Linked DNA regions of Callithrix jacchus. The protein of the gene in region 7 interacts with the protein of the main gene of each other region in a biochemical or structural test. Links are inferred from orthologs where the notes say so. Each region holds a gene or a part of one and is shown on either strand. Other genes may lie near its edges. The genes, in order: AIRE, UBE2I, HOXB7, FOXO3, KHDRBS1, HOXB6 and CREBBP.

What was found.
Region 1: the proteins of CREBBP (region 7) and AIRE interact in far-western blotting, tested with the Homo sapiens proteins (2 studies listed by BioGRID). The link is inferred for Callithrix jacchus from reciprocal best matches to the Homo sapiens genes CREBBP and AIRE.
Region 2: the proteins of CREBBP (region 7) and UBE2I form a complex in vitro, tested with the Homo sapiens proteins (2 studies listed by BioGRID, with this or other methods). The link is inferred for Callithrix jacchus from reciprocal best matches to the Homo sapiens genes CREBBP and UBE2I.
Region 3: the proteins of CREBBP (region 7) and HOXB7 form a complex in vitro, tested with the Homo sapiens proteins (2 studies listed by BioGRID). The link is inferred for Callithrix jacchus from reciprocal best matches to the Homo sapiens genes CREBBP and HOXB7.
Region 4: the proteins of CREBBP (region 7) and FOXO3 are reported together in a solved structure, tested with the Homo sapiens proteins (2 studies listed by BioGRID, with this or other methods). The link is inferred for Callithrix jacchus from reciprocal best matches to the Homo sapiens genes CREBBP and FOXO3.
Region 5: the proteins of CREBBP (region 7) and KHDRBS1 form a complex in vitro, tested with the Homo sapiens proteins (2 studies listed by BioGRID, with this or other methods). The link is inferred for Callithrix jacchus from reciprocal best matches to the Homo sapiens genes CREBBP and KHDRBS1.
Region 6: the proteins of CREBBP (region 7) and HOXB6 form a complex in vitro, tested with the Homo sapiens proteins (2 studies listed by BioGRID). The link is inferred for Callithrix jacchus from reciprocal best matches to the Homo sapiens genes CREBBP and HOXB6.

Annotation. Positions count from the first base shown.
Region 1 is NC_133522.1:49,948,119-49,952,302, reverse strand, and holds the start of AIRE (autoimmune regulator), read right to left. Parts: upstream 2,801-4,184; 5' UTR 2,639-2,800; coding exon 2,510-2,638; intron 1,563-2,509; coding exon 1,388-1,562; intron 1,152-1,387; coding exon 996-1,151; intron 662-995; coding exon 536-661; intron 1-535. UniProt on the Homo sapiens protein: Transcription factor playing an essential role to promote self-tolerance in the thymus by regulating the expression of a wide array of self-antigens that have the commonality of being tissue-restricted in their expression pattern in the periphery, called tissue restricted antigens (TRA).
Region 2 is NC_133513.1:3,564,923-3,568,905, reverse strand, and holds the start of UBE2I (SUMO-conjugating enzyme UBC9), read right to left. Parts: upstream 2,801-3,983; 5' UTR 2,665-2,800; intron 2,335-2,664; exon of another isoform or gene 2,068-2,334; intron 1-2,067. UniProt on the Homo sapiens protein: Accepts the ubiquitin-like proteins SUMO1, SUMO2, SUMO3, SUMO4 and SUMO1P1/SUMO5 from the UBLE1A-UBLE1B E1 complex and catalyzes their covalent attachment to other proteins with the help of an E3 ligase such as RANBP2, CBX4 and ZNF451.
Region 3 is NC_133506.1:117,664,927-117,669,183, reverse strand, and holds the start of HOXB7 (homeobox protein Hox-B7), read right to left. Parts: upstream 2,801-4,257; 5' UTR 2,707-2,800; intron 2,329-2,706; 5' UTR 1,631-2,328; coding exon 1,231-1,630; intron 1-1,230. Other genes in the region: HOXB8 (homeobox protein Hox-B8), read right to left, coding at 3,930-4,237. UniProt on the Homo sapiens protein: Sequence-specific transcription factor which is part of a developmental regulatory system that provides cells with specific positional identities on the anterior-posterior axis.
Region 4 is NC_133505.1:114,678,106-114,682,044, reverse strand, and holds the start of FOXO3 (forkhead box protein O3), read right to left. Parts: upstream 2,801-3,939; 5' UTR 2,419-2,800; intron 1,780-2,418; exon of another isoform or gene 1,652-1,779; intron 1,538-1,651; 5' UTR 1,424-1,537; coding exon 806-1,423; exon of another isoform or gene 488-805; intron 447-487; exon of another isoform or gene 1-446. UniProt on the Homo sapiens protein: Transcriptional activator that recognizes and binds to the DNA sequence 5'-[AG]TAAA[TC]A-3' and regulates different processes, such as apoptosis and autophagy.
Region 5 is NC_133508.1:68,627,234-68,631,179, reverse strand, and holds the start of KHDRBS1 (KH domain-containing, RNA-binding, signal transduction-associated protein 1), read right to left. Parts: upstream 2,801-3,946; 5' UTR 2,668-2,800; coding exon 2,286-2,667; intron 1-2,285. UniProt on the Homo sapiens protein: Recruited and tyrosine phosphorylated by several receptor systems, for example the T-cell, leptin and insulin receptors. Once phosphorylated, functions as an adapter protein in signal transduction cascades by binding to SH2 and SH3 domain-containing proteins.
Region 6 is NC_133506.1:117,671,836-117,675,910, reverse strand, and holds the start of HOXB6 (homeobox protein Hox-B6), read right to left. Parts: upstream 2,801-4,075; 5' UTR 2,296-2,800; intron 1,870-2,295; exon of another isoform or gene 1,750-1,869; intron 1-1,749. UniProt on the Homo sapiens protein: Sequence-specific transcription factor which is part of a developmental regulatory system that provides cells with specific positional identities on the anterior-posterior axis.
Region 7 is NC_133513.1:5,839,910-5,843,136, reverse strand, and holds part of CREBBP (CREB-binding protein), read left to right. Parts: coding exon 1-57; intron 58-1,177; coding exon 1,178-3,227. UniProt on the Homo sapiens protein: Acetylates histones, giving a specific tag for transcriptional activation. Mediates acetylation of histone H3 at 'Lys-18' and 'Lys-27' (H3K18ac and H3K27ac, respectively).

The DNA.
Region 1 (4,184 bases), on a different chromosome or scaffold from region 7:
TCATGTGTGCTCGTGTGTGTGTGCTGGGGGGGCACTGTCAGCACAGCTGGCACATGGATAGGAAGGAATGACGAATGACCAGGCCCCCCATGACATGGGCCCTGTGTTGTGCTGGGAGGGACACAGAGTTCCTAGTCTCTGCCCTCAGGGAGGACAGCAGTGGGCACAGGGTGTCTCTGGAAGTAATGAGAGGGAAATGGGAGGGGTCCCGTCTGCATGCAGCTGGGGGCCAGGGATGATTTTCTGGAGGAAGCAGTGTCTGGACTTGTCCTGAAGAATAGGGAATGGACGGGCAGAGGTTCCTGAGAAGGGGGTCCCAGAACCGGGTGCAGTGGGGGCGGAGGGGACTGGCAAGGTCATGCTTGGAGCCAGGGTGTCCCCTTCCTGGGTCTGGCCCTTGGGATGGCCCTTGCACGCCAGGCCAGCACGTGCCCAGTCCCCAGGACAGGCCCTCAGAGGGCAGGCCCTGCTCTGACCCCTGACCCCTTGCCCCTGGCCAGGGAGAAGGGAGGCACTCCCGCTGGGCCCTGCTCACCATTCCCAAGCGGAAGGCGCTGCTGCTCTGCGCTGCTCTCCGGCTTCCTGGGGGGCTTGGCCTTCAGTTGAGATCCTGAATAGGGGAGCTGGGGCAGCCTGGCCTCCCTCTCGGTGGGGGTAAGTGCTGGTGGGTGGGGCCCCGAGGTGGGAGGGTGTGGAGTGGGGTCCAGTCCTGGGTATCCCAGCCTCCCGTGGGTCCTTCCCTTTGCGGGGCTCTGGTTTCCCCTCAGTAGAAAGCAAATAAAACCCATGTGCCTACTTCGCCAGCCCTGGGGAGCTCAGTCTTTGGGCAGGAAGGAGCTGAGAGGCTGGTCCAGTGTGTGGGTCTAGTACCCAGAGGGGACCTCCACAGCCCCAGGCAGGCTGGCTCCATCCCAGTGAGTGGGAGCCCGGGTGGGGAGGGGGCGCAGGCTCCCGGGGAAGACTGGAGCCCTCAGCTGGCTTCCCCTGCTGGGTACCTGGGCTGGAGGTGGCCCTTGGAGTCAGGGCTGCTGGCGTGGCAGCTCGAGCCTCTTCTGAGGCCTTCCTCTTGGTGGGGAGCCTGGGTGGTGGCACCAAAGCCTTGGGGATGGCCGGGGGCTTCCTCCCCTTCCGGGGCTGGCTGAGGTCCACATCTGCAGCTCAGGGGCAGAAGCAGGAGAAGAGTTTTCTGCAGGGGAGGCTGGGCCCCAGAACTGGACACCGTGGTCACGTGGGCGAGGCCTGGGCCCTTTGCCTCTTGGGATCCAAGCCCATCCTGGGGCATCACCCACAGGCTCCCCAAACACCACTCCAGCTCCAGTCTAGCTGGGCTGAGCTGGTGGCAGCAGCTGCCCCAGGCCCCCCGGCATCCAGGCCCCCCGGCACCCACCTCTGGGGAAGCTGTCGAGGATGGGCTGCAGCCGGCCGTAGCGCTGCAGGTTGTAGTCCTTGAACAGAACCTTCCAGAAGTCCAGGATGGCTGCGGAGTCCTGGGTCAGCAGCCAGGACAGGAGGGCGTGGAAGGCCTGAGGGCAGCCCTCCTTCTCCTTCAGACGAAGCGTCTCCTGCAGTGGGTGGCATGAGGGTCCCTGCCATGCTCACCCACACCCCGCGGCCTGCCTGTCACCACTGTGACTAGAGGGGGGCGCTCCCAGCAGAGGCACTGGAGACCAGGGCACCTCCACGTCCATCTCCTCAGCTTGTGGTGGGGTCAGGTGGTAGCTCAGGGTGTTGAGGGTGGGGGTAAGGAAGCGTCCTGGAGGCCATTCCTTTGGCTTGGGGGTGAAGTGTGGGGATATCTGGGGGAAGAGAGCCAACTTTTTTTTTTTTGAGACAGAGTTTTGCTCTTGTTGCCCAGGCTGGAGTGCAATGGCGCGATCTCCGCTCACTGCAACCTCCGCCTCCTGGGTAAGCAATTCTCCCGCCTCAGCCTCCTGAGTAACTAAGATTATAGGCATGTGCCACCATGCCCAGCTAAGTTTTTTTTGTATTTTCGATAGAGATGGGGTTTCTCCATGTTGGTCAGCCTGGTCTCAAACTCCTGACTTCAGGTGATCCGCCCGCCTCGGCCTCTCAGAGTGCTGGGATTACAGGTGTGAATCACTGCACTTGGCCTTTTTTTTTGAGATGGAGTTTCACTCTTGTTGCCCAGGCTGGAGTGCAATGGTGTGATCTCTGCTCATACAACCTCCGCCTCCCGGGTTTAAGTGATTCTCCTTCCTCAGCTTTCCAAGTAGCTGGGATTACAGGCTCCTGCGACCACGCCCAGCTAATTTTATATTTTTAGTAGAGATGAGATTTCTACATGTTGGTCAGGCTGGTCTCGAACTCCAAACCTCAGGTGATTCACCCGCTTCGGCCTCCCAAAGTGCTGGGATTACAGGCCTGAGCCACCCTGACGGGCCTGGGGGGACTGGAGGGACTGGGAGGCTCCAGGCGGGGTCCTCCTGGAACTTCCCCAGGGACTGCCCCTGACTCGCAGGGCCTGGGGCAGGGGAGGGCGGGGGCCCACCTGGAACTTGTCCTCGGGGACCACGTCGTGGTCGGCCAGCGCGTGCAGCAGGGGGAAGGCGCTGTCCACCGCCACCGCGATCTCCGTGCGGTGCAGCCTCAGGAGCCGGCGCAGCACCGCGTCCGCCATGGGGTCTGCTTGGGGCTGGGCGGGGGTCCCGGGATGCTGGCAGCCCCTCTCCTCGCCTCGGGTCCCGGCGGGCCTGTGGGGCGTCCGCGCCCGCTGTGCACCCGTGTCCCCCGCCTGCAGCCCCGCGCACCCCTGTTATACCGCGGCGACCACGCAAAGCGCAAAGGCAGCTCCGCCCGGTGCCCAATCAGGGCCAGAGCCTCGGCCTCCCTGCGGCGGGGACGCTTCCGTGTGATGGAGGCGCTGCTCGCCCGCCCGCTCCTGGGAAGTCTCGCCCAGCCTGACTCACCCACAGGGGCAGCTGCCTTGGGGGCTGGGGACTGAGACTTGCTCTGGGCGGGGCTCAGAGGCCTCTGGCTTCCGAATGTGTCCTGGTCCTGCCTCCCCAAGGTTCCTGCTGGAATGGGGCAAAAGCGGGACAGGTGCACTGGGGAGGCTCGGTGCTCAGGGGCCTGACGGGCTGTCAGGGTGCACTGGCCCCTCCAAGTGGCCTGCAAGAGCCTCCATGGAGGCTGGATTGGGGTGGCTCCCTGGGGTACCTCCACACAAGCTGAGAGCCCCACTTGGAGGCCCACCTGGGGCTGTGGGAGGAGCCTGATGCAGGGTCCCAGTCTGATGGAGGAGACTGTAGGGTTGGTGTCCCGCCCTAGGCAGCCCTGGGCGATGCCGAAGAGGCTCCTGACTTCGCCACCCTAGGCTGGCTGTGTGACGCCAGCCAAGTCCTTTCCTTCTCTGAGCTTCAGTTCCCTCGTCTTCAAAAGGGGTGTATTTGCCTGGGGATGGAGGTTCCCACTGACCCCCTACTTCCTTCCCCCAGGTGCTTTAGAAGGAAAGCAACTGGCCCCATGGTGGAGGCTCTGAGGGTGGCCCTGAGTGTGAGCTCCCGAGGGGTCTTCCTAGGACCAGTGACACAGGCTGAGGGACACTGCAGCTTGGACAGGAGCTTCGGGGGCATCTGGGAAGACATCCCAGAGAGGAGCTGCCATGGACAGGAGTCGAGGGTCCCAGGTGGACGTGGGTGGGGACAGTGCCCCCAGTAAAGCAGGAGCAGGTGCAGAGGTCTGGGGCCTGCAAGGATGCGGGCATGGCCTCGAAGGGGCTGGCCTCAGCGGGAGGCCTTGGTGACACAGACCCCTTGTCTGTCCGGTCAAGCCGGCGAGGCAGGCCCTGTGTGCAGGCTGCAGAGACCCACGAAGGACTCTGGGCACATTGCTCCCCCCGAGCCTGAGAAGGAAGCGACCTGCCCAGCATGGGTCAGGGTTGAAGAGTGACAAAGGTACCAGGAAGCCTGAATCTGGGCAGCACTGGGCTGAGGTGACTGACGCAGTAAGAGATGATTCCCGCGTGGGCAGATGTGCCATAGGTCGTTGGGCAGCCAGAGTCCGGGATGGGGAGCAGCAGGCACCTCTCCTCAGGACCAGGGCTCGGTCTCGATTTCTGCTTCTGCCTCCAGCCCCAGTGTCCCCCTGAATGTTCTGCACGTGCTGAGATTCCTCCAGAAAAGACTCCAGGGGTGCCTGATAACAAATCTGGGGAGGAAGGTGGG
Region 2 (3,983 bases), about 2.3 Mb from region 7:
CAGGGCACCAGGGTTCCGGAAGCCGGGCAGGGTTGCTAGAGCCGCGTGCCCTGCAGGGGGATTTGGTTCATTTTCACCAAACACGGGTTCTCATGGTAGTCCGAGAAAAAGCAGGCAGAGGAACCTGGGTCCTCCAGTCAGCAGGCGCTGGTGGCACTGGGAGAGAGTGACAGGGGCCACTGGGCCCTGGCCTCCAGCTCCACGACTAAGTCCAAGACAGGCAGCCGGGGCTGGAGGCAGCCACGGACTGGGCCCCACTGGGATGTCCTTCCCCACATCTTCCTCACTGAGACGCAGAGGGTCCACAGGCCACCTGCCCTCCTGACCGCTTGCCCTTCCCCACACCCTCCTCTAAGTCGGGAGAAAGTGGGGGAGGACACAGCTGGGCCGAGCTGGGGGCAGGCAGGGTATGGGTCCCAAGCAGGCTGGAGTGCTCGCCAACCACGGTTTCAAGGTTCTCTCTGCACTGGCTGGGGTCTGAAACTCCACACCCCAGCCGGTGTGGAGTTTTCTCCACCTTCCCCTTCCATTGGCTCTTCCACATGGAGTAGCCCAGCACCACCTTGGTACCGGCGGCCTGAGAACTCAGGGGCTCTTGCTTCCCCAGCCCCAGGGAGGAGTCTCTGAGTGGCTGCAACCTGTGCCCTGTGCAGTGCATAGCAGCCTGGCGAGTGGCTGTTTCACGAAGGCGCCAGCTCCCAGGTGCCCATGGTCTGAGCGGGGCCAGGCATCAGACGGGCCTCTGAAGCCCCAGACCAGCGCTCCAGTCACTGAAGGACCATGGGCACCGATGCTCACAGCCAGGCAAGACCAGGCCATGGAGAGGCCAGCAGGCCTGGGACTCTGCCACAGGTGGCCTTCCTGCTGAGGACTGGACAGGGCCGCCCAGAGGCCGTGCTCAGCCCCCAGCTATTGTTGCCTCAGGTGTGAGAAGTCATGAGGGTGGTCCTGCCAAACCTCCTGCCAAGACCGGGCTGCTGCCGCTGTGCCGCCAGCCCCAAAGCACTCAGCACCAGGCGGGGGTCGTACAGGACACTCTACCATCAGGGCAGGGAGCCACAGGTGCACACCCACCCATCCTAGGCAGAAGCCAGGCCTGGCCTCCAAGATCCCTGCTCCCCCTCCTGCTGGCCTGCCCACTGGAGAAAGTGGCCCATCTGTTACAATGTAATCACAACACAGACCCAGCATTCAAAAATCCCACTGAAAACTGAATCCATCCTCCCCAACTAACAGATAGGCACTTAGTGAACAGCTAGGAGTCACTAAGGGCTTCAAAACAGGAAACTTTTACGCTACAAACACAAAAACAACTCTTCTGTCAGCGCCAGGCAAGGCCCAGACACCGGCAGCAACGGGACCTCTGGGCCGGGCACTCCAGGAGCTGCCCGAAAGTCTGCCGCCTGCCCTCCCACAGGGCACACGCAGAGGGCTGAGCTTGAGCATGTCCGATCACCACCTGGCTCTGCTGGCCGACTGCACCCACTTCAGAGCAACTTCCTGGCTGAGGGTGAGCAAAGCGCCCATCTCCCACAGTGCCGCCCACAGCTCCGCAGCCCTCATCACCAGAACAGGTGGGCGCCCCGACAGGCTCGCACCTGAAGCCCTCAAAGGTCCTCCTGCACCCAAATGCACACTCTCCCAGGCCCGGGAGGATGTTCCCTTCTGCACGACCCGGGCACCTGCAGTCGGGACACGCTCACCTGGCCGCACCTGACCTGTCTGTCCCAGGCCCCCGGGCTGTTTCCGCAGCGAGATCCCAAACCCCGGGACACCTGCAGCCACCCAACAGCCTAGGGAAGGGACCTCTTTGTGAGCCCCCAGGGCAAACTGAGGGTCCTTCCTGTGTTCTCTCCGCTAGGTTCTCTACCCAAAGGCAACGTTTCTTTAAAGAGCAAGAAACGGGTGGGGTGAGTCCTAGGGAGAAAACCGACGAAATCCCCCAAGACTCCGCGGACAGAGGAACTAAACGTGACTCCCGACTCCACACCCCGAACCACTTCGTCCTGCGCTTCGCGCCTGACCGCAGGCCACGACCACAAGCCCAGCGCGTCACCCCGCACCTGCCTCCTACGGCCCCAACTTCCAGAGCCAACCACGATTCAACCGGTACAAAGCGGCCCGAGACCGGACCAAACTCCCACCAGCGGCGCCGGCGGGGCGTCTTCAGCGGCGCGAGAGAACTTGGACGCGTTTCGGTTTGAAGGCCCCGAAGAGCCGCCCGCCCGCCCGCCGGCCCCCACCCGCGCGAGTCAGCGCTGTTGCAATCCGCGGCTCTCCCCCCGGAGGCCCATCCTCGTCGTCCGCGGGCGACCGTGACCCCGGAAGCCGCTCGCCGCGGAGGAGGAAGGCGCGGCCTCGCGGGGCCCCGGCTGCAGGTGGCTGCCCCGGCCCCGCGCCAGGCGCACCTCGAGGGCGAAGTGGGGGAGCCCCGGCCCCGAGGGCCTACGGCGAACCGGGCGCTCGGGCTACAGCCCCGCGACGCCAGCACCGCGGGCCGGGCCGGCGTCGAGCGCGGGGCCTCTCTGGGAAGCTCGGCCGCGACGCGGGGCCCGGGCTCGGCGGGGCGGGGCGCGGGGCAGCCGGGGGCCCGGGCCCGACAGCGCTGGAGGCCTTAGCCCGCCCCCGCCCCGCGGCCCCGGCCCGGCCCCCGCCCGCGCTCACCTCGGGCGGCCGCGGCCCCGGCGAGCGTCGCGGACAGGCGGAGGACCGAGCGGGGCGGCGGCGGCGGCGCTTCCCTTTGTCTCGGGACTTCCCTCCGGAGCCCGCTCCGCGCGCAGCCCGAGCAGCTCCGAGGACCCTGGGGCGGGCGGGGCGCGCGAGGCGGGGCCTGGCGCGGGGCTGCCCTCCGCAAGCCTGCCTCGCGCGCCGCCGCCGCCGTCCCGCCCCGAGTGCTGCCCGCGCCACCACCCGCCCCCCGCCGCCCGGGCCCCGCCACCGCGCGCCCGCGACCCGGGTCCGCCCCAGGAGCCCGGTCGGGGGGCGACTTTCCAGTCAGGCGGCGCCCTGGACACCTACACCCTTAAAGGAGCCGCGTCCCCGATGTGAGGGAGCGTCTGCAAACTCCCCTTCGGGGCGCCCGCGTCCATCCGAGGACGCGCCGGCGAGCAGCGGGGGCAAAAGGAGGCCGAGAACTCCAAAAGCTCCCTGGATACCCGGAAGTCACCTCTCCAGGCACACGTCCCGGAGGTTTCCTTGGGGTCAGGGCCTGGGGTCTGGGGGCAAAGACCACTGAGGCCTAAGGATACCCTGAAGCGTCGCAGGACGGTGACGCTCCCGCTAGTTTAGCGCCCTGTGAAACCTCTTGCAATTGGCCAGTTCGGGGCGGCGGGCGGGGAAATCTTCTCATCCGCCCAATGAGCTGACCCGGTACAAAAGGCCGAATGCGCGCATGACCGACGGGAGGAGAAGTGAGGATGTTCCCTAACCTGGGGGCGGACCCTGGGCGGGGGCGGGGCGCGGGGCCTGCGAGCGGCGGGGGCGGGGCGGGCCCGTGGGGGAGGGGCGCTTCCCGGCCCCACCCCCACTCCCATCCCCGCGCCAACCGCGGGGACCGGGTCGGGAGGCCCCCAGCCCCGCGAGCGCGCTGGACGCTCCGCCAACGCGCGGCTGTGCTGGCCCCGGGCTCTCCTGGCCCGCCCACCCCCATTTCGCCGACGGCGGGGTCGCTGCCAAGGTCACTGTGTCCGGGCGCTTGGGGACCACGGGGAATGACCGCATTCTTTCATTCCCTCCCTCACTGACTCATTCATTCATTCATTCATTCCTTTACTCGCTCACTCATTCCTTCACTTCCTCAATCATTTCCTCCCTCATTCATTCTCTCCCTCATTCACTCATTCCCACCCTCACTCATTCCCTCCCTCACTCATTCCCTGCCTCACCCATTCCCTCCCTCACTCATTCCCTCCCTCACTCATTCCCTCCCTCACTCATTCCCTCCCTCACTCATTTCCTCCCTCACTCATTTCCTCTCTCCCTCA
Region 3 (4,257 bases), on a different chromosome or scaffold from region 7:
CAGAACCCTGAGGAGACTTGAAAGAGGTGCTCCTGGGAAGGAAACAGGGGAGGGGGGTTAGGGGCCCTAGTTTGGAGTCACATAAAAGTCAAGCTGAAATGCCTATAAGCAGAAAAATGGGGGCTTTGATAAATCATCTGGAAAGGCAGTTAAACTATGGAGCAGGTAATGGGGTCTATAACCACGAATACTGATGGTGTGAGAGCTGGGCTTCTTCTGGCCCCTGACCATCACTGAGCTGGGTGCCTCTGACAATGAGTCTTGGGTCTTCTGTACTTTGGGGCTAGCCCCCAAGTTCATCTGCTGTGGAACAGCACAGAAAAGAATGTCTGGGCCAGCATTGGCAGAGACCTTATGGAACCTCAGACCCTTGGGGTTCCTGCAGCAGCTCGCTGGGTGAACTACACTCTCTAAGTTTTGATTTGGCTCCAGAGAGTCCTAGCCCCTTCCCGAAGAGGTGAGTCTCTTATCTGGAGTGATATCTCCAAACCTGGCCAGTTTTTTAGGGGTGCCTAGGAACCCTAGGAAGAGCACCTGAGGAAGCTGCAGTCCCATGAGGCTTCTGCCCCTTTCTAGTTTTCCTGTTCCGCTCCCCTACCCAAGTTCATTGGGGTCAGGAGGCTCATCTCTCTTGGTCTCAACCCCCTCCCTCCACCTGCCTCTCTGGCTCTGTGTCCCTGGCTGGGTCCTTTTCTCCTCCCGTCAGGCCTCTAGAGCCCACCACTAATTGAGCTGATGAGAATAATGGGGGAGTGGGGTTCGCTGGAAAGGAAGGGGGAGGGGAGAATTGCTTAGCGCTATGGCCCCCTCCCCCATACCTTATTCGAGCTGGGGTAGGGGGATACACCCAGGGCTGAGATCCTTAGCTAAGAAGGGGGAGGGGGGGAGACCTTAATGGCTATTCTCTGTAAACCCCAGCCTTCCTCCGCAAGCAAACGGCCTCGTCTCCACCCCGTGCCGGCGCTGCTAATAAATATTTAAAGCTAAAAGGCCGAGAGGAAGGGTGGGGGCGGGCTGGGTGCTCGGAGCGCCGTGGCGTCGGCGAAGAGAGACCCGCCGGGAAGCAGAGGGAACCTGAGAGCACCGAGCAAATATGGGGGCGGGGGCGGGGCCGGCCTCCGGCCGGGAGCACTCTGGACGCGGAAAGGGGCGCCCGGCCGGGAAGGGGGCGCCTTCCGAGTAATGTGCTCGGGCCCCTGGGGCTCGGGACAGCTCGGTGCGCGGCGTTACCTGAGCTTCGCATCCAGGGGTAGATCCGGAAGTTACCCTCGGCCGCCAAGTCCGAGTCCCTCTGCTCCTTGGCGCCCGCCGCCTTGGCGGAGTCGCCGGGACACACCCCGGAGAGGTTCTGCTCAAAGGGCGCGCAGTGCATGTTGAAGGAACTCGGCTCAAGCCCGTAGCCGGCCGCGTAGACGCCGGCGGCACTCTGGCCCGCCATGCCCCCCCCGCCGGGGTACAAGCCCTGCATCGAGGCGGCGAAGGAAGCGCCCGAACCCGCTCCATAGCCCGGGCGCTGGGGATTGGAAGCAAATGCACAAGAAGTTTGTTCGGGGAAGGCTCCGGTAGCGAAAACCGAACTTGAGGCTGGATATTTAGAAAATAAAGCATTCGCATAATACAATGAACTCATAATTTGGCCGGATGATTTGTAGGCAGGGACGTTTTAGTGTCGGTTTTACGAGATTCCTTGATATATTACAGAATTAGAGTCCAGATTTACACCAAAAAGGACCCCCTTTTTCCTCTCCGGACCACGTGACCACGCCCACGTGACTTCCCCTCTGCCAATGGGTGGGCTGCCTCCCCACGGCTCCCGGTAATGTGGAAAAAATTGTGTGGCGTTGGATTTATAAAATATGATCAATAATGAATGGGAAAGCCGAGCCCTGTGGATTGGGGCTGGGGGCTCAAGGGCCGCTGCCGACTCCCGCGGGCTGGAGGCAGCTTGCAGGCGAGGTTTGGGAAGGAAGAGATTGAGAGGAAGAGAAAATAAATAACCTCAGGGCGATCCGTGTTGTCACCCCCCTACCCATCCTCTCCAGCCCGTTACCGAGCTAGAGACAAACGCAGGGATTGAATGCATGCAACTGGGAAGGTGGGTGCGTGGGGCAGGTCTGGTCTTTATTAATCCACGCCAATTCTGCATTGCAAGGCCTTTTGGGGAAGTTGTCCGGTTCTCCCAAGACGAGGAATAAGGTGAGCCTGGCTCACGGCTCTGTCTCTCTCTCGGTGCCCCAGATTTGCTGGCGGAGATGAAGCGAGGCTTCCTAGATACTCCTAGGGCACAGGATTCAGCCAATGGGCCTTGGACGCTGCAGTTTCTGGTGGCTAAAAGAAAAAAAAAAAGGTTTCAAAGTAAAAGAAAGAAGGGGGTTGGGTGGTTGGGGAGAGAAAGGAAGGGTGGAGGGTGGCCATGGCGCGCTGCTTTCCCGGTTCCGGAGGCGTATGCCTCAGTGGAGCGTGACTACCACAGAAGCAGAGGCAGCGAAAGAAGGAAGGTGGTGAGCCATGGCCTCAGAACAGAGCGAAGGTGGCCAAGTCCCAGAGAGGGAGAGGCAGGGAAGAGCGGTCTCCCTTCTCCTGCTCCCCCAACAAGAGTCCGAGGGAAAAAAAAAAAATTATGCTCAGCAGGCCTGCACTCCACCTTTATGCGCGCGCGCACACACACACACACACACACACACACACACTCTTCATAGGACTCACAGCAAAACAAAGAGGGAGGTGGCGGGGGACACAGCCACCAGCTCAGGCGCTTGTCTCCAGCGTGGCCTGGGCGCCCTGGTCTCCCAGGCTGGGCAGCCTCGGAACGCAAGAGGAGGGGGTTTCTCTTGGCTCCCCTCCCTCGTTTTTCTCTCCTCCAATCAGGCGCAGCCGCCTCCCTCACCCCCTGCGCCCCTGGGCCGAGGGACTCGCACCACCTGCCTCCAGCCCCCGCCCCCTCCTCTCCGCGGCCTAGCCTCAGCAGGCGCAGGAGCCTGGTGACAGGCTCCCCACCGGCTCTCCAAGGCACCCGGGAGCAAATGAGGAGCGCTGGCCAGGCCAGACTCGGGTTCTTGCTTGTAAACTTTATTGTAACTCTTCCGCCCTTTTGAGGCGCAGACAACAGAACAAAGTATAGAGGAACAACAAAATATATAATTAGCCCTCCCTCCCCCCCCATAAAGCAATTCACGGATACAGGATACATTCTCTTCACAGTAAACCTAAGAACACTTTTAACAATTGCCCACAGCGCGCATGCTAACTAAAGTAATCTCTTTTGAGAAACACTTAAGACAAAATTGTCAAACCAAAGGGGGTGGGTGGAGGAGGAAAAGAGAGAAGCCAGAGAGAAAGCCAGCGAGCTGGGGGGTGCAGAGGGGAGAGAGGAATGGGAGGAGGAATGAGAACGCAGCGAGAGAGAGAGAGAGAGAGAGAGAGAGAGAGAGAGAGAGGAGAGAGAGAGAGGAGAGGAGAGAGAGAGGGAGGAGAGGGAGACAGAATTACGGCGTGAATAGGCAGTTTCATGTTGTTGGGAGAACTTAGCAGAAATCGGTACCTCGGTCATTACAAAGAAGCACGTTCAAAGGAAAAAGACCATTGCACAAGAAGGCTTTTTACAAGGGGTGGGAAGGGGCGTGGGGGGCTCAGCCGGGCCTTGGCCGCTCATCCTCACAGGGCGAGGGAGTCCTTGCTTAAATCCTTTTCTTCCCCCCCCCCGCCCCCAAGAGAAGGGAAGGAGATCCACGGTAGCTCACACACAGAAGCTATTACGAGATACTACCACTAGCGGGGACTGGCGCGGCGGGGGACGCTGCGGTGGGAGGCCCGGCTCCTGGCCCGGCTAGCGGGGCCAGAGCTCTCTCGGGCAGGGGGCAGGCGGCGGCGGCGCGGCCGGGACCCGCGGACGTGCGGGCGGCCGCGGCCCTGGCAGTCCTAGCTGGAGCCTACTTCTTGTCGCCCTTCTGTGCGTCGCCCTCGTCCGCCGCCTCCGGGGCCCTCTCCAGCTTCTGTTTCTCCAGCTCCTCCTGCTCGCATTTGCTGCTGGGGAACTTGTCTTTGTTGTTCTCTTTTTTCCACTTCATCCTCCGGTTCTGGAACCAGATTTTGACCTGTCTCTCTGTCAGTCCCAGCGCGTGCGATACCTCGATTCGTCGCTTGCGAGTCAGATAGGGATTAAATAGGAACTCCTTCTCCAGCTCCAGGGTCTGGTAGCGGCTGTAGGTCTGTCGGCCTCGCCTGCGTCCGGCGGCTGCTGGGAATGGGGGAAAGGGC
Region 4 (3,939 bases), on a different chromosome or scaffold from region 7:
GCACAGGCCCCTAGTCCCCTATACCCAAGCCCTTCCCTCCAACAGTGCCAGAGTCCAGGCCTCTCCAGGAGCAGTGGGTGCGGCCACTCTGGATTGAGGTGGCCAGGCCAGTCGGTTCGAGGCCCCAGAACATTTCAGAAGCTAGTCAGGGGCAGGTTTACTGGAGTGGTATCTCTGAGAAGAAAAGGTGTCAATTGCAGGCAATGAAAGGAAGCCGTCCAGGAAGAGGTTTGCAACCACTGCTTTTTCTAATGGGATCGATGAGCCTGTGGGAGTTAACATCCGCAAGCTGAAACTTGGACCCCGAGGGTTCTCATTCAGCTAGTGACGACACAATATATTCCTGTGACAGACTAAAAACCACACATCCAACCCCTCCTCCGGACATTGCATACAAAACACTCCCCCACATCCTTCACTCCACCCACAGTGCCCGAAACAGACCCCCATCAAGGTAAACTCTACTCCAAAGTCGCTGCGGACCTACCTCCTCGACGCTGTCCTGAGAATCCAGCAAAAGCACTCCTGTCCGTTCGCCCTTCCCTCGCCGGCGTCCCCTGCCCCCTTCTCCTCACCTGGCCATGCCCTAGGCTTGTGGGGAGCCTCTTTTCCCCCATCCGAGGCCGTCCCCAGGTGCCCTTACTCCGGGGGTCAAAGAGAACCCGCAAAACCTCACAGCTGAGGCTCCCCCTGCCAACCCCGCTTGCCCTGGAGCCCGCAGGCACGCTCCGACAAATCCAAGAAGCGTCTCGCGCTGCGCAAAAGGCCCGGCGGGTCCAGCCGCCAGCCAGGGGTGGGTACGCACCTTCCAGCCGGCCGAGCTGTTGCTGTCGCCCTTATCCTTGAAGTAGGGCACGCAGCGCACCATCCACTCGTAGATCTGGGACAGAGTGAGCCGTTTGTCCGGCGAGCTCTCGATGGCGCGGGTGATCAGGTCCGCGTAGGACAGGTTTCCCCAGGCGTTCCGCCGCGACGAGCATTTCCTCGGCTGCCCGGAGCCCCCAGCCGCCCCCGGCTGCGGCGGTGGCAGCGGCTGCTGAGGCTGCAGCGGCGCCTGCATCCCCCCGCTTAGCGCGCCCGCCACAGGGGCTGGCCCAGACCCGGGGTCTTGCCCTCCCGGTGCCAGCAGCCGGGCCGAGTCCTCAAGGAGCAGCCCAGAGGCCAGGGTGCCGCTCCCGCCACCGCCGATCGCCATGGCCGAGCTGGCCCGGCCCCCGCCATCCTCGTCGTCTTCATCGTCCTCCTCTTCGGGGATCATGGAGTCGGCGGCTGTCTCCCCCGAGGGCTTAGCAGGGCTCGCCTGGAGCTCCGGCCTTTGCAGGGGCCACGTACAGGAACGCGGCCGGCTCTGGGGCTCGAACTCCGGGTCCAGCTCCACTTCAAGCGGAGAGAGCGGGGCCGGGGAGGCCGGTGCCTCTGCCATCTTCACCGCTCGCCCGCCAGCCCGCGGCTGGGGCTCTCGCGCCGGGGCGGGGTGCGGCGGGGGAGGAACGTGGGCGCCGCGAAGGCTCCGGCTCCCGGGCGCCGCCGCCGCCTCCTGGGGAAGCACGAGAGGAGAGAGAAGGAGAGTTGGTTATCCCGGGCCGGAGCCCTGTCCTCGGCGAGTCCTAGCCCGCAGCTGCCGCCTCCCAGCCGCGCCGCGCCCGCCTACCAGGAACAGGCGGACCTGGAGACGTGCGGCCAGCGAACCTGGCGCAGCAGACACCGCCCCCCGGCCAGGCCGCGGGGGAGCTGCGAGCGAATCGACGGCCTCGCGCGGGGCAGCCCCCTCCCCCCGCCGCCCAGCCTCAGGTCCCTCCCGGACTAGGCGGTGGGGCGGAGAGGAGGGGGAGGGGCACCCGGGGGAGGGGCGGCCGCGCCTTTAAAGCGGGCAGCGGCCCGTGCAGGCGCAGCCGAGCCGCGGTCGGAGCCCAAGCTCGGACGTGCGTGCGTTTGTTTATATTTCGCTCCAGCTCGCTCTAGTGCCTCCCGCGGCGCTGCCGCTCAAGTCTGTGTGATCTTCGGCTCTTTTCCCCTTTCCCCGCCCTGCCGCCTCCGCGACCCCCCTGTCACCCCGCAATCAGCCGACTGGCCCGAGCCCGGGGACTGCGCGGGCAGCTCCCTCTCCCCTCTTCGCCCGCGGGCCGGAGGACGAACGCGGGTCTGGGCGCAAATGGACCCTTGTCACTTCCAAAAAATAAAGGAAAGACGGAAAGAAGGGGAGCAGCACCCCGGCGGGTGTTCGCAGAGGGTCGAACCCGGCGGGGACGGCCACTTGGGGGTTTTGAGTGGTTGGTATTCTCGCGGACGTCGTCCCCTCCGCCCCCTTCCCAGTCAGGATCCGGGGGAGGGAGCGAGTCGGGACATAAATCTTCCAACAGGTCGGGAAGCGCCAAGTCTCCCGGGCTGCCAGAAAACCCGGACCAGCACGTTCATCACCTCCTTGCTCCCGCTGCTGCCATCTTGACAGTTTCCCCCTTCCCTCGAGTCCTTTAAAATCACTAGCGGGCGAGACGGGGGGCGCGCAAACCGCGGCTCGGGGAGGGGAAAGGGAAGAGCCCGGCCCAGCTCGCAAGCAGATCCGGAGTCACCGGGAAGGCGGCCGCCCGCTGCACGGCTCCGGCGCCTACCTCGCTTCCTTCCCTTCAGGGACGCGGCGGGACGATGCACGATCCCGCGCGGGCCCGGGGCACGGCGAGGAGGGGGCGCGCAACCTCGGCGAAGGAGAAGCGCTCGGGCCGTCGCCGCAGCCCGCCCGAAGAACCGCCTGTCAGCTCGCGCGCCGCCGCCTTCCACATTCCTCCTCCTCCCTTTCAAGAGCAGGGCGGCCGCGGCAGCAGCACAAAGTTATAGACACACGCAGGGCGCCTCAACCTAAGCTGACGGCGGGCGGGTCCCCGCCCAGGGGGAGGGTTGGGCGACGGGCTGGGCGCGCGGCGGGCGTGCGTGAGTGCGCGAGTGTGAGCTCGCGCGCGCTTGCGCGACCCGGGTCCACGGGGCTGCGGGCGTGGGTGTCCGGGCGCGCGCCGAGGGCCGGGACTCGGCGGGCTCTCGCTGTCGTTCCCGCTGGGCTGCTCCTCCCTCCCCAGAGCCTCAACGACAACAAAGCGCGGCGCTGGCCCGAGAGAAGAAGACAGGGGAGAGGAGGGAGAAGAGGGAACGCCAGGAGCGCGAAGCCCCCGACGCTCCAAGGAGCGCAGCGGCTTGGCCTCCCCGAAACCAGGCAGGGCTCCTGGCACCACGGGTCCCGGGCCTGCGCATCCGCTCGCCCGGCTCTGGTCTCACCACGGTGTCCGGTTCCCGGTTAGAACTCGACACCAGGTAACACCCGAGATAAGATGCTGACCGCAGATGACCAGGGTTACAGCGGCGTGGAAATACTGAACGGCGAAGATGTTGGTGCCTGCACAACTTTGATAAGCCAATGCTCACAGATGCGATCGGGCACCAAAAGGTTTACACTGAGTCTCTCACCTACCACAGTTGTGTTTTACTTTTCATGGGTTTCATAGCAAACGGGGGACAGGTGTAACTAACTCCGGAAGAAATGCAAACCCCACCCCCGTCCTACATTCATGAGCAGATTGGAGAAGGGAAAAATAATTTTAGTCTAATTTGTAAAGGACGACAAAACTGCTAAGTGTGCATTTTTGACTTTTCAGAAAAGACGGATTCCTTTAGGCTCAGAACATCTGCACAAGTCCTTATTCTACGATCCGTGCCCCAAATCGTTTATTTGTACTCTACGAATGCAGTACACGCGACATGCACACCCAAAGTATAGACACCGTAGTTTATAAATATCTTTTTTAAAAAAATAGTTCTAAGTCACCGGAGATAGCTCAGAGTGTAGAAGCGGGCTCTGTAATGACCCCCATACACAAAGGTCCAGCCCAGCGTACGCAGGAGCCAGCCCGCCCCGCTACCTCCGGGCTCCGGGCTTTGCGCAGCACCCGTCAC
Region 5 (3,946 bases), on a different chromosome or scaffold from region 7:
GTGCCATTGCACTCCAGCCTGGGTAACAAGAGCAAAACTCTGTCTCAAAAAAAAAATTTAATGTAAAGTGCTCAGACACCAAACATTAAATATAGCTATATTTTTCTTCCATGTTTTTATTTTATTTTATTTTATTTTTTTGAGATAGGGTTTCACTTTTGTTGCCCAGGTGGTGTGCAATGGTCAGACGTGGGCTCACTGCAACCTCCATTTCCCGGGTTCAAGTGATTCTCTTGCCTCAGCCTCCCAAGTAGCTGGGATTACAGGTGTGTGTCACCATGCCCGGCTCATTTTGTATTTTTAATTTTTAATAGAGATGGGGTTTCACCATGGTGGTCAGGTTGGTCTCAAACTTCTGACCTCAAGTGATCCACCCTCCTCAGCCTCCCCAAGTGAGCTACCGGCGCCTGGCCCTTCCATTTGTTCTTACTAGAACTTAAATATTACTATTCTATCTTCTCAAAGTCTCACTTCTTCACAGTGGGTTGTGACTTCGCTGCAATTCCTTTGCAAGATAATTCAGAAGTACCTTAAAAGCCAGGCTCTGGCAGGGCGTGGTGTCTTACGCCTGTAATCCCAGAACTTTGGGAGGCCAAAGTGGGCGGATCATCTGAGGTCAGGAGTTCGAAACCAGAGTGAGCAAGAGGTGAAACCCCATCTCTACTAAAAATACAAAAATCAGTCAGGCATGGTGGCACTCGCCTGTAATCCCAGCTACTCAGGAGGCTGAGGCAGAAGAATCGCTTGAACCCGAAAGGTGGAGGCTGCAGTGAGGTAAGATAGCGCCACTACATTCCAGCCTGGGTGACAGTGAGACTCTGTCTCAGAAAAAATAAAAAGCCAGGCTCAATATACATTAACACTTATCAATGCCACAAAGAATCCATACATCCCGATTTCATTCTTTCAGTGAACCAACATTACCTCAAACACACTTACCAATTTCAGTTTGGTTTAAAGAAAAAAAAAAAAAATTCATCCAGAAAACAGAAGTTAAAAATAAAGAGCGCTCTCTTAGTTAAGCAGTGAGGGGAGACTGAAAATTACAGGGAACTTTTAAGGGTCAATAGTTTTTGACAGTTATCTTAAAAAAGCATAAAAGATGAACACCACATTGGTAAAGAGCCCTTAACTTACAGTGTTGGGAGACAGAACAAAGGGAGGGAGGTAATATTTTCATAACGAACTGTTCATTATATTAACCTTGCCATAGAGTCCAACCACTCATTCAGTGTTGAATGATGGGAATTTTTACTTGCATACTAAAATTTAAGTATCATAAGAAATATTTATTAAAATAATGTTTTAACTAGAAGTGGAGGTCAGACAGCTTTAGGGAAAAATCAGGGCGACTAGGTGATTGGCCAATGCTGATCAGAAAAAGAGCGCTAATCTACAGAACAAAGACTCATTTCTTTTTCACTACTGAATAAAATATGTAAAACAAAGCAACAAAAAGACCAAGACTTTCAGTACAAGCATCATGCAACTTCTCTCAATTTCTGTCCATCTCGTTGGGAAACGTCATGAGAACTACGCGGCAGTCCCTATCGTCCCATTTCAACGTCTCTAGGGTTATTTCACTCCTTCTTCAATGGTGAACCCACGGTGTAAAATTAAAGACAACCTTCAAGCTCAGTATAGCAATTCTTATTTTATCAGCCTTAGTAGGAAATCTGATTCGAAAACCTCAAGCTCCGATCCCCATAAATCGCTCCTTCCTCCCAGCAACTTAAGCTGCGGTTACCGCTAAGTCCGGCTCGGCCCCAGAGACAGCGACGCGCTGGACAGGGCATTCCAGCCTCACCCCACCTCACCTCGGCCTTTCCTCCCACGGCCCCTCCCCCGTTCTGGCTGTCTTCACCTCCCACACCTCGGTCGAGGGGCTCATTGCCACTCGCGATCAAAAAGGCTTCCCCCTCGGGGAAAGGGGGAAATACAGGTTCATTTCTGGAAGAATCTGCGCGCTCGGAGCGCGGGGCAGCCGCAGGAGGAGGGAGGAGTGAAGAGTCGGGAAAGGGGCGGGGAGCTCAGCACTATCCATCAAGATGTTAGCGCTAGGAGATCGCAAAGTCGCCTTCGGGCCTGCACTGCAGCCTAGAAATTCTCCCTCGCACTCCAGACTGAGGTGGGAATGTGGACTCCAGGGTCCCAAAAACGAAGATGAGACCGGAGCTCCCGACTTCCTCGGTCCCGAGGGGGCGGAAGGCGAGAGGAACAAAGCCAGGGCCACTCATGCCTTGGGATGGCCGGGCGACCCAGAGGGACCCGGGAGGCCCCCTTACCTGCCGTCAGCAGCTGCATGGCGTGAGTGAAGGACGGGTCGAGTGAGTCCTTCTCCGCCATGAGTTCGGGCAGGTACTTGTTCTCCGGCTCCATCTTGACCGAGGCTGTGGCTGAGGGGGGCAGCAGCGGGGTCGGAGCTGGCCCGCCCACTGTCGCGTCGGGACCCGTGGCCGAAGGCGGCAGCAGCGGTGGCGGCTGCGTGGCGGGCGAGGCGCGGGCACCTCCGCGGGATCCCCCTCCGCCTCCCCGGGACCGGTGAGGCAGCGGCGGCTGCCGAGACGGCGTCTGACGCACCGAGGGGTGGGCACCTGAAGGGTCCATGGAGCCGCTGCGGCCCGAGGACCGGCTCATGCGTGCGGCGGGGTCGTCCCGGCGCTGCATCGGGGAGGATGTGCGATCGAAGGAGTGAGAAAGCGACGCGGTAGCGGCGGAGGCCCGGGCGGCGGTTGGCGGGGGTGGGAGAGCGGGAGCGGTAGCGACCGAAGCCGACCCTAGCGACCCAGCGAGAGAGAGCACCGGAAATGAGGCGGCGCGCGTGCGCAGCCAGTCACCGGCACCGCCCTTGGGTTTCTCCGCGGAGAACAAAGTCCCCAGTCCAGCCACGGCGCCTGCGCACCACCGCGGCGTACGAAGAAGTGGCCTCCCGACTCCTGCTTTCCCTCCGCGCCCGCCAGGCCAGAATTTGGCGCGCATGCGCGGGAGGCTGCCGGCTCAGTTCGTTTCCTTTTCCACGTGACTCGGCGCTAGCGGGACACGTGGGTCCTTCCCCTTCTGGTTCAGTGGGCGGAGGGGGCGGGGGCTGTGGAATGTCTTTGTCTACGCGCGGGCCCGCCGAGTGTGGGGCGGGAGACCTGTTACTCGCCGGGCCACGCCCTCCAACGGCCGAAAGGCACGGACATTTTAGTGCGCAATGGGGTGGGGTGGTAAGGCGAGTAGCTTGGGGGCGGTCACTGAAGTGAGAAACTAAAAGGAGACTGCGGTGGGAGACCCAGAAAGGGAAGGGAGAGAGAACTGAGGCTGCCTAGGGAGGAAGAGAGGTGGGGGAGAGACAGAGACTGCACAAGGAGAAAGAAAGACTAAGGGAGAGTCTGACGCAGCAATAGCAGGGGAGATGGGGAAGGGAAACCTGGAGGGAGAAATTGAAGAAGGACGGCTTGGTGGAAACACTAAAAGCAATTGGAGGACTTGACCTAAGAGGGAGGGTTCGGATCAGAGACCTGAAGTCTAGCAAAGAAAAGGGCCCCAGACAGCAGGGAACACGAGAAGTCATTGCTAGTGTTATATATATTTCCAGTATTACATATATTGCAGTCGGTTCTAAAACGGTTGCCATTGCTGGTCAGGGAAATCTTAAAAGAAGCAGCATTTTAGCTCTTTTTACATATTTTACTGCTTTCTGTGACTTAACGTTTTGTTTAGCCGTCATTCTTGCCAGTTAAGTGTTTTTTCCGTCAAAAAGTGGGATAGAGACCAGATCCTTAATCGACGTTGGTTGCATCATTAGGATGGCTCCTTCTACCATTCCAGACTGGCTTAGAGAGACCCTTGCCACTACTCTCAAGGCCAAGGTACATACATAGTGGACAATCTTCAACGGCGTTCTCCACATCCTAGAGTGCTATATGCAAGTGGAGCCTTAGGTTCCTACTTGTCCCATAAA
Region 6 (4,075 bases), on a different chromosome or scaffold from region 7:
CACCAACCAAGGAACTGGCAAGACCCACCAGCCAACCCGGAGAACACAGACCCAGTTTGTCTTTTGACAACCGAGTGGAACTGCCGGCCGGCGCCTTCCCTACCGGCCCCCTCCCTTGGCTGAGAAGAAAACCAAATAAACCTTGAACAGCCTTGGCTTCGGATCTCTCAAGCGGCCCCATTCTCTCCCGCGCCTTGGTGGGGTGGGAGTGGGGGTGGCGGTGGGGGTCTCGGTTCTGATCCCTCCACCCTTTGGTTCAGGGCCCCTGGCCACTGGATGCAGAATTAGACCTTTTTAAATATGTCCTAGAGGAAGCCCCTTCCCCTTCCCCTCCCAGCCTCCAGGTTTGAGGCTGGGGTGGGAGGTACGGATGAGGGGGCGGGGAGAGTCGGGAATTGAGGATGGGTGGAGGAGAGACTTGTTCTGTTCTCTAACCCACACCGGGGAATCAAGATCCAGCTGAGAACGTCGGTGTGGACCCGAAATCCCCTGAATCCCTTGGACCCTGCGCGGCCAGGGCTCCAGGCATCGGGCACTGCTGGGGCAGTGTCGCGGGGTTTGCGGCGCAGAAGCCGCGTGTCTGCGAACGGACGGTAGATGGCAGCAAACCGCATAATTTGGGTCCCAGTGAACTGTCTAAGGGAGGATTTATAACCCTCCAAGACTACAGGAGAAAAAGACCTTTAGTGTGGGTGGGTTTGGGAAATGTATCCCTTGAGAATAAGCCCTTAGTGCCGTGGGTGCTGGCGGAGAACTCTCGCTACGAAACCGAGCGGTCCCTCCCGGCGCCCAGGCCGGGCCTGAGACTAGGGCATCTACCCTGGACCCCAGAGCCCCTTCCGCGCCACAAGTGGCCCTCTCCCAGCTTAGGACTGAAATAATAAATATACCCCCACTTCCAACACACCCCAGGCCCTGTAACTCCGGAGCGACCAGAGGCTCGAGGCTGAACGTCCTATATCTGGTCTTAAGAAAGAGAAAAGCAATCACATGTTCGTGCAAACCAAACTAAATCACAATCTCTCCTGCCCTCCACAGCCAACGTCACTTATCTCTTAGCTGGAAACTTCCCCCAGAAGCTCCCTTGCCCCATTTTTAAGTCCTTGCCTCAAGGCTGGCTTCTACTTCCTCCCCACCAGCTACTTGAGGAATCTCTGTCTCTTGCCCAATGGTTCTCCGCCCTCCCCACACCTCTAGAAGGCCTGACTGAGAGATAAATTGGACACCCGAGGGACGGGACTGCCTGAGCTCAGTGCCAGTTAGCTTTCCAGTTTACACACCATTCCATAACTGGATTTTCTTATTTTCTTCTTACATTTCTTTCTTTTTTGTTTTTATTTAAAAGCCTAAAACAAAAACGCACTTAACAGCTCTTTCACAATCACCATGTTTGGACCCAGGAAAGTTTGAAATGTTACCATATCAGACACACACATGGCAATTTTTTCCTCCACCGAAATCCACACATCCCATACCAATACAATGCAAATAATAGAATCGATAAGCGCAGAAACCAACAGCTGTAACCTACCGCATTAAAACCACAAAACTGTCTCCCTGCAGAGCGAGGCTCCCTCCTGCGTGAGTGGCGAGAGATTTGGGCATTCTCGGGCAAGCTTCCTGGGGGGGGGGGGCGGAGGGTCTCCCTCATTTTTGGTGTCTCCACCCACAGCCCTTTAATTTCAAAAACGTCTCCGAAGGGAGATAGCGAGCATTTCTATGTAAATTGTCTTTTCTGTGTTTCTCTAGCCGCCTCCTCTCCCTCGCCGGCCTTGGCGGAGATTCCAGGCCCTACAGAGACCAGGACGTCCCTTAGCGCCACCACCCCACATGCCAATGCAGCCGGGAACCCGGCGATATCCGCACCAGGCAAGAGAACTGCTCGGGGGCAATAGCCAGAGGCTGGGACAAGGGAGGGATGGCAGGAGGGGGAGGGGGCAAACCCACGGAGGCCATAACGACTGGCTTCTTTGGGTGCCACTGAAGCCCAGATGCCCCTATCCTCTCTTTCGTAGCCCCCTTGAGTCTCTCCTCCAAGCTTAAAAGGGCAACTTAGAGCTTGTCTCCTGGCCCTCTTTAGATTCGTCTTCCCGATTCCCCTGCCTTGGCTCCCCCTCCAGGAAGCAGCCACCCCTCTCTCCACCACCGAATTTCCTGGGAAGCTTCTCCCTGCAGCGCCCAGAGGTGGGGTTCAGCCCCGTCTTGGAGTAGGGGAGGAGGGAGAAAAACCCAAGCCCCACCCCCCTACAAAAGCGATGCAAAAGAACCCGAAGAAAATTGTAGAATCTCCCTTACCTTTGCAGACCTTGGGATTTTTTTCCCTCCGGATTGAAAGGAATGGGGAGGGAGGAAAGAAGGAGCATTCAGTTTCTTCTTCAGCTTCCAGATAATATTGTCCCAACGTGAGAGCCGTCGCTTCCCCTTCTCTGACTTGGGAGAGAGGGTGTTTCATTTTTCTGACATTTGCATAGAAAATTGAGTAAGTTCTGTCTTTGAAAAATAGTATCAGGCTGCAGTCCTAGGCAGAGTGTCCATTTACCCTCCATGATGACTAAAATCCCAGATCAGTGAGCAAATTAACTTAGGAATCAAAATTATTTTTGGTTCTCTCTTTGTGCAATTCCCACCCCTCCTGCTCTCCCTCTCCCTCTCTCGCTCTCTCTCTCTTTTCTCCTCACCCCCCTCTCTCCTCTCTCTCTTTTGCTCTATCGAGCTGATACTGAAGTATAAAAATATCAAGAGGCTGGAGCCCTGAAGGACGACAGTGCTCCGACCTAGGTGTGGTGTCCAAAAGAATGCTGCATTATAACCACCAGGGAAATGATAAAAAGTTCATGTTCACGATCGCCTGGCCACATGACCGGCGCCGGCCAATCGCTGGATTCAACCACTCATAAACTTCTATCACAAAGTTGTAAATTTTCATAAAACAACAAGGAATTTATTGCATTTCTTCATGGCTGCTCCACCAGCAACCCTTTTCTCAGTCGCCATCTTCTTTTCTTCTCCTGCTCTCCTTTTGGGGAAACCCCAATCTGAGAAGGGGTGAGATTTGGGGGGGCAGAGAATCAGAGTGGAGAAGCTATAAAGGTGCAGCTAGGAAGGGTTCTTTTCCGAACCTCCCTATTTTCCACAGGAGGTCTGCTCCCTCTTCTAATAAAAGTCTACCCCAAATTCTCTGCAGAGGGACAGTTCTGAGGCAATTTTGGGGTGAGACGGGAGCAGAGGCCGGTGTCTAGTGTCTAGAATTGCCGTCCGCACGTGGGCAAAATGAAAGCTTCGGTGTTCCCTCTCCCCAGCTGAACTGGCACCCTCATTCCTAGCCCTGTAGAGGGCAGAACCCCTACCTGTGAGGCTTGCAGCATTGCGGGCGTGGGGGCCTTGGATCCCCTAGGGCTTTGTTTTTGTCCCAAGAGGAAAGGCTGACAGTCAGACAACCAGATTCTCGCCTCCGCAAACCCAGAAACTGGGGGAGGGTCAAGCCGGATCCTGGCCTCTCCCGCCCAAATGCAGGCAAGTCCAGGTTCCCTATTGACAGCTCCCCGCGCTCTCCAGGGGGCTACGTGGTCAATAATGGGGGAAATTGCAGGTTTAGAAGCCTTTCACAGACAAATTCAAATTCAACAGATCATCCTAAAACCAACCCTCTTTCCTCTTTCTTTCCAAAGTCTGTTTTATAATTTAAATAATTCAGGGTTTATAATCGAATAAAAATCAGTTCGGCGATTCTAGCTGCATAGACACCACCCTCCAGGTCTTGATCCTGCAATCAGCGGGTATTTGAAAGCAAAAAATGAAACAAAAATTCAGCCCAGGTTTCCCAGGTCCCCTGAAATATCCCCGTATTTCAACTTGAGCTACCAATGACCAAATTCAGGAAACGAAATAACCTCCCCTGCCCCAATTTTCTCTTTCTTTCTCTCCCTCTCCCTCTCTCTCTCTCTCTCTCTCTCTCTCTCTCTCTCTCTCTCTCTCTCTCTCTCTCTCTCTCTCTCTCTCTTTCTCTCTCTCTGTGTGTGTGCTGCGGAGAAGGTTCCAGGCTGCTGTCGGCGGCGCGGAGAGCGGGCGGAGAGGC
Region 7 (3,227 bases):
ACCTGCAACGAGTGCAAGCACCACGTGGAGACGCGCTGGCACTGCACTGTGTGCGAGGTAGGCCCGCAGCCAGCCTGGGAGCTGACGAAGCATCCCGTCCCTTTGCGTGGGTGCTGGGGTCAGTGTCTCTACCTGATGGCGGCTGCGCTGAGTCCTCTGGAACTAGGACAGTATCACAAGGCAGAAGGCATCGCCATGTTTGTGTTTCCTAAACCTGCTCTGTGTAGCCATGTCCACAGGCCTGGCAGTGGGGACAGCCAGAGAAAGGCTTTGCAGGGAAGTCTGTCCTATCTGTGCCCAGTTCTGGTCTTGCTAAATGGCTGGGAACACCCGCTGTCCTCTTGGTAGCTTGGGACCCTCTGGTCCCTTGCATGGGTGTTCCTTGCATGGGCTCAGGCAGGTGACAGACCCCACCATTCCCCTCCCAGGACAGTCACCATCACCTGCCACCCCAGAGCCCACTCGCTTGCTGTGGTGTCTGTAGGCAGGCAGAGCGGTCCTCAGCCGAGCGAGGGCTTCTTCTCTCTCCACCTTCACACGCCTCTCTTCCACACTCCAGCTTTCTCCAGTGTCCTTTGTCCTCTTTCTAGTTTTTGCATGTGGCAGTTTTTACCTCTTTCTGTGAAGGCAGACTTCGTACCTGATTCTAGGGCTCCGTCAGGTTGCCAGGTGCAAGCAGTTTTTAGTAACCGGCTTCTGCATTAGGGAAAGTCCACTGGCACGCCATGGGTAGGGTAGCCCAGGCCTTTCCAGAGGCGCTTCATGGCAACTGTCGGTGCTCTGGGAGGGACCAGCCTCCCTCGGCCTTTCACTGTCAGGTTTCACAGTCCAGGTACAGGAGCAGGACAGGCCATGACGGGGCCAGTGTGACTCCCTGGGCAGAGGAAGCCAAAAGGAAGGGGGCTGGTGTCTACTGTCCATAAACTCACAGGCTGGGAGGTCTCAGGGCATAAGTCTGGTTATCTTTGAGCCTTCAGGGCTATTCCCAGGAGTCAAGGTCTTTGGGAGGAGCATGTACACGGCCCGTGCTCCTGTCCTGTCCATGCTTCCATCCTGTCTGGGTCTCCTGTCTGGTTCTCTTGGCACGGACCCAGACGTAGTGATGGAGGGAAACGGCCAGGGTTCCTGGTGTTGGGCCCCGTGCTGACACCAGCCTGTCCCCTTTTCTCGCTTCCAGGACTACGACCTCTGCATCAACTGCTATAACACGAAGAGCCATGCCCATAAGATGGTGAAGTGGGGGCTGGGTCTGGACGACGAGGGCAGCAGCCAGGGCGAGCCACAGTCAAAGAGCCCCCAGGAGTCCCGCCGGCTGAGCATCCAGCGCTGCATCCAGTCTCTGGTGCACGCATGCCAGTGCCGCAACGCCAACTGCTCGCTGCCATCCTGCCAGAAGATGAAGCGGGTGGTGCAGCACACCAAGGGCTGTAAGCGCAAGACCAATGGGGGCTGCCCGGTGTGTAAGCAGCTCATCGCCCTCTGCTGCTACCACGCCAAGCACTGCCAAGAAAACAAATGCCCCGTGCCCTTCTGCCTCAACATCAAACACAAGCTCCGCCAGCAGCAGATCCAGCACCGCCTGCAGCAGGCCCAGCTCATGCGCCGGCGGATGGCCACCATGAACACCCGCAACGTGCCTCAGCAGAGTCTGCCTTCTCCTACCTCAGCACCACCTGGGACCCCCACGCAGCAGCCCAGCACACCCCAGACGCCGCAGCCCCCTGCCCAGCCCCAGCCCTCACCCGTGAGCATGTCACCAGCTGGCTTCCCCAGCGTGGCCCGGACTCAGCCCCCCACCACGGTGTCTGCAGGGAAGCCCACCAGCCAGGTGCCAGCACCCCCGCCCCCGGCCCAGCCCCCACCTGCAGCGGTGGAAGCGGCTCGGCAGATCGAGCGTGAGGCCCAGCAGCAGCAGCACCTGTACCGGGTGAACATCAACAATGGCATGCCCCCAGGACGCACGGGCATGGGGACCCCAGGAAGCCAGATGGCCCCTGTGAGCCTGAACGTGCCCCGACCCAACCAGGTGAGCGGGCCTGTCATGCCCAGCATGCCTCCCGGCCAGTGGCAACAGGCACCCCTTCCCCAGCAGCAGCCGATGCCAGGCATGCCCAGGCCTGTGATGTCCATGCAGGCCCAGGCAGCTGTAGCCGGGCCCCGGATGCCCAGCGTGCAGCCACCCAGAAGCATCTCCCCCAGCGCCCTGCAAGACCTGCTGCGGACCCTGAAGTCACCCAGCTCCCCTCAGCAGCAGCAGCAGGTGCTGAACATTCTCAAGTCAAACCCGCAGCTAATGGCAGCTTTCATCAAACAGCGCACAGCCAAGTATGTGGCCAATCAGCCCGGCCTCCAGCCCCAGCCCGGCCTCCAGCCCCAGCCCGGCATGCAGCCCCAGCCCGGCATGCAGCCCCAGCCTGGCATACACCAGCAGCCCAGCCTACAGAACCTGAACGCCATGCAGGCTGGCGTGCCACGGCCCGGTGTGCCTCCACAGCAGCAGGCAATGGGAGGCCTGAACCCCCAGGGCCAGGCCCTGAACATCATGAACCCAGGACACAACCCCAACATGGCGAGTATGAATCCACAGTACCGAGAAATGTTACGGAGGCAGCTGCTGCAGCAGCAGCAACAGCAGCAACAGCAGCAGCAGCAACAGCAGCAGCAGCAGCAGCAAGGGAATGCTGGCATGGCTGGGGGCATGGCAGGGCACGGCCAGTTCCAGCAGCCTCAAGGACCTGGAGGCTACCCGCCAGCCATGCAGCAGCAGCAGCGCATGCCACAGCATCTCCCCCTCCAGGGCAGCTCCATAGGCCAGATGGCGGCCCAGATGGGACAGCTCAGCCAGATGGGGCAGCCAGGGATGGGGGCAGACAGCACCCCCAACATCCAGCAAGCCCTGCAGCAGCGGATTCTGCAGCAACAGCAGATGAAGCAGCAGATTGGGTCCCCAGGCCAGCCGAATCCCATGAGCCCCCAGCAACACATGCTCTCAGGACAGCCACAGGCCTCGCATCTTCCTGGCCAGCAGATCGCCACATCCCTTAGTAACCAGGTGCGGTCTCCAGCCCCTGTCCAGTCTCCTCGGCCCCAGTCCCAGCCTCCACATTCCAGCCCGTCACCACGGATACAGCCCCAGCCTTCGCCACACCACGTCTCACCCCAGACTGGTTCCCCCCACCCCGGACTCGCAGTTACTATGGCCAGCTCCATAGATCAGGGACACCTGG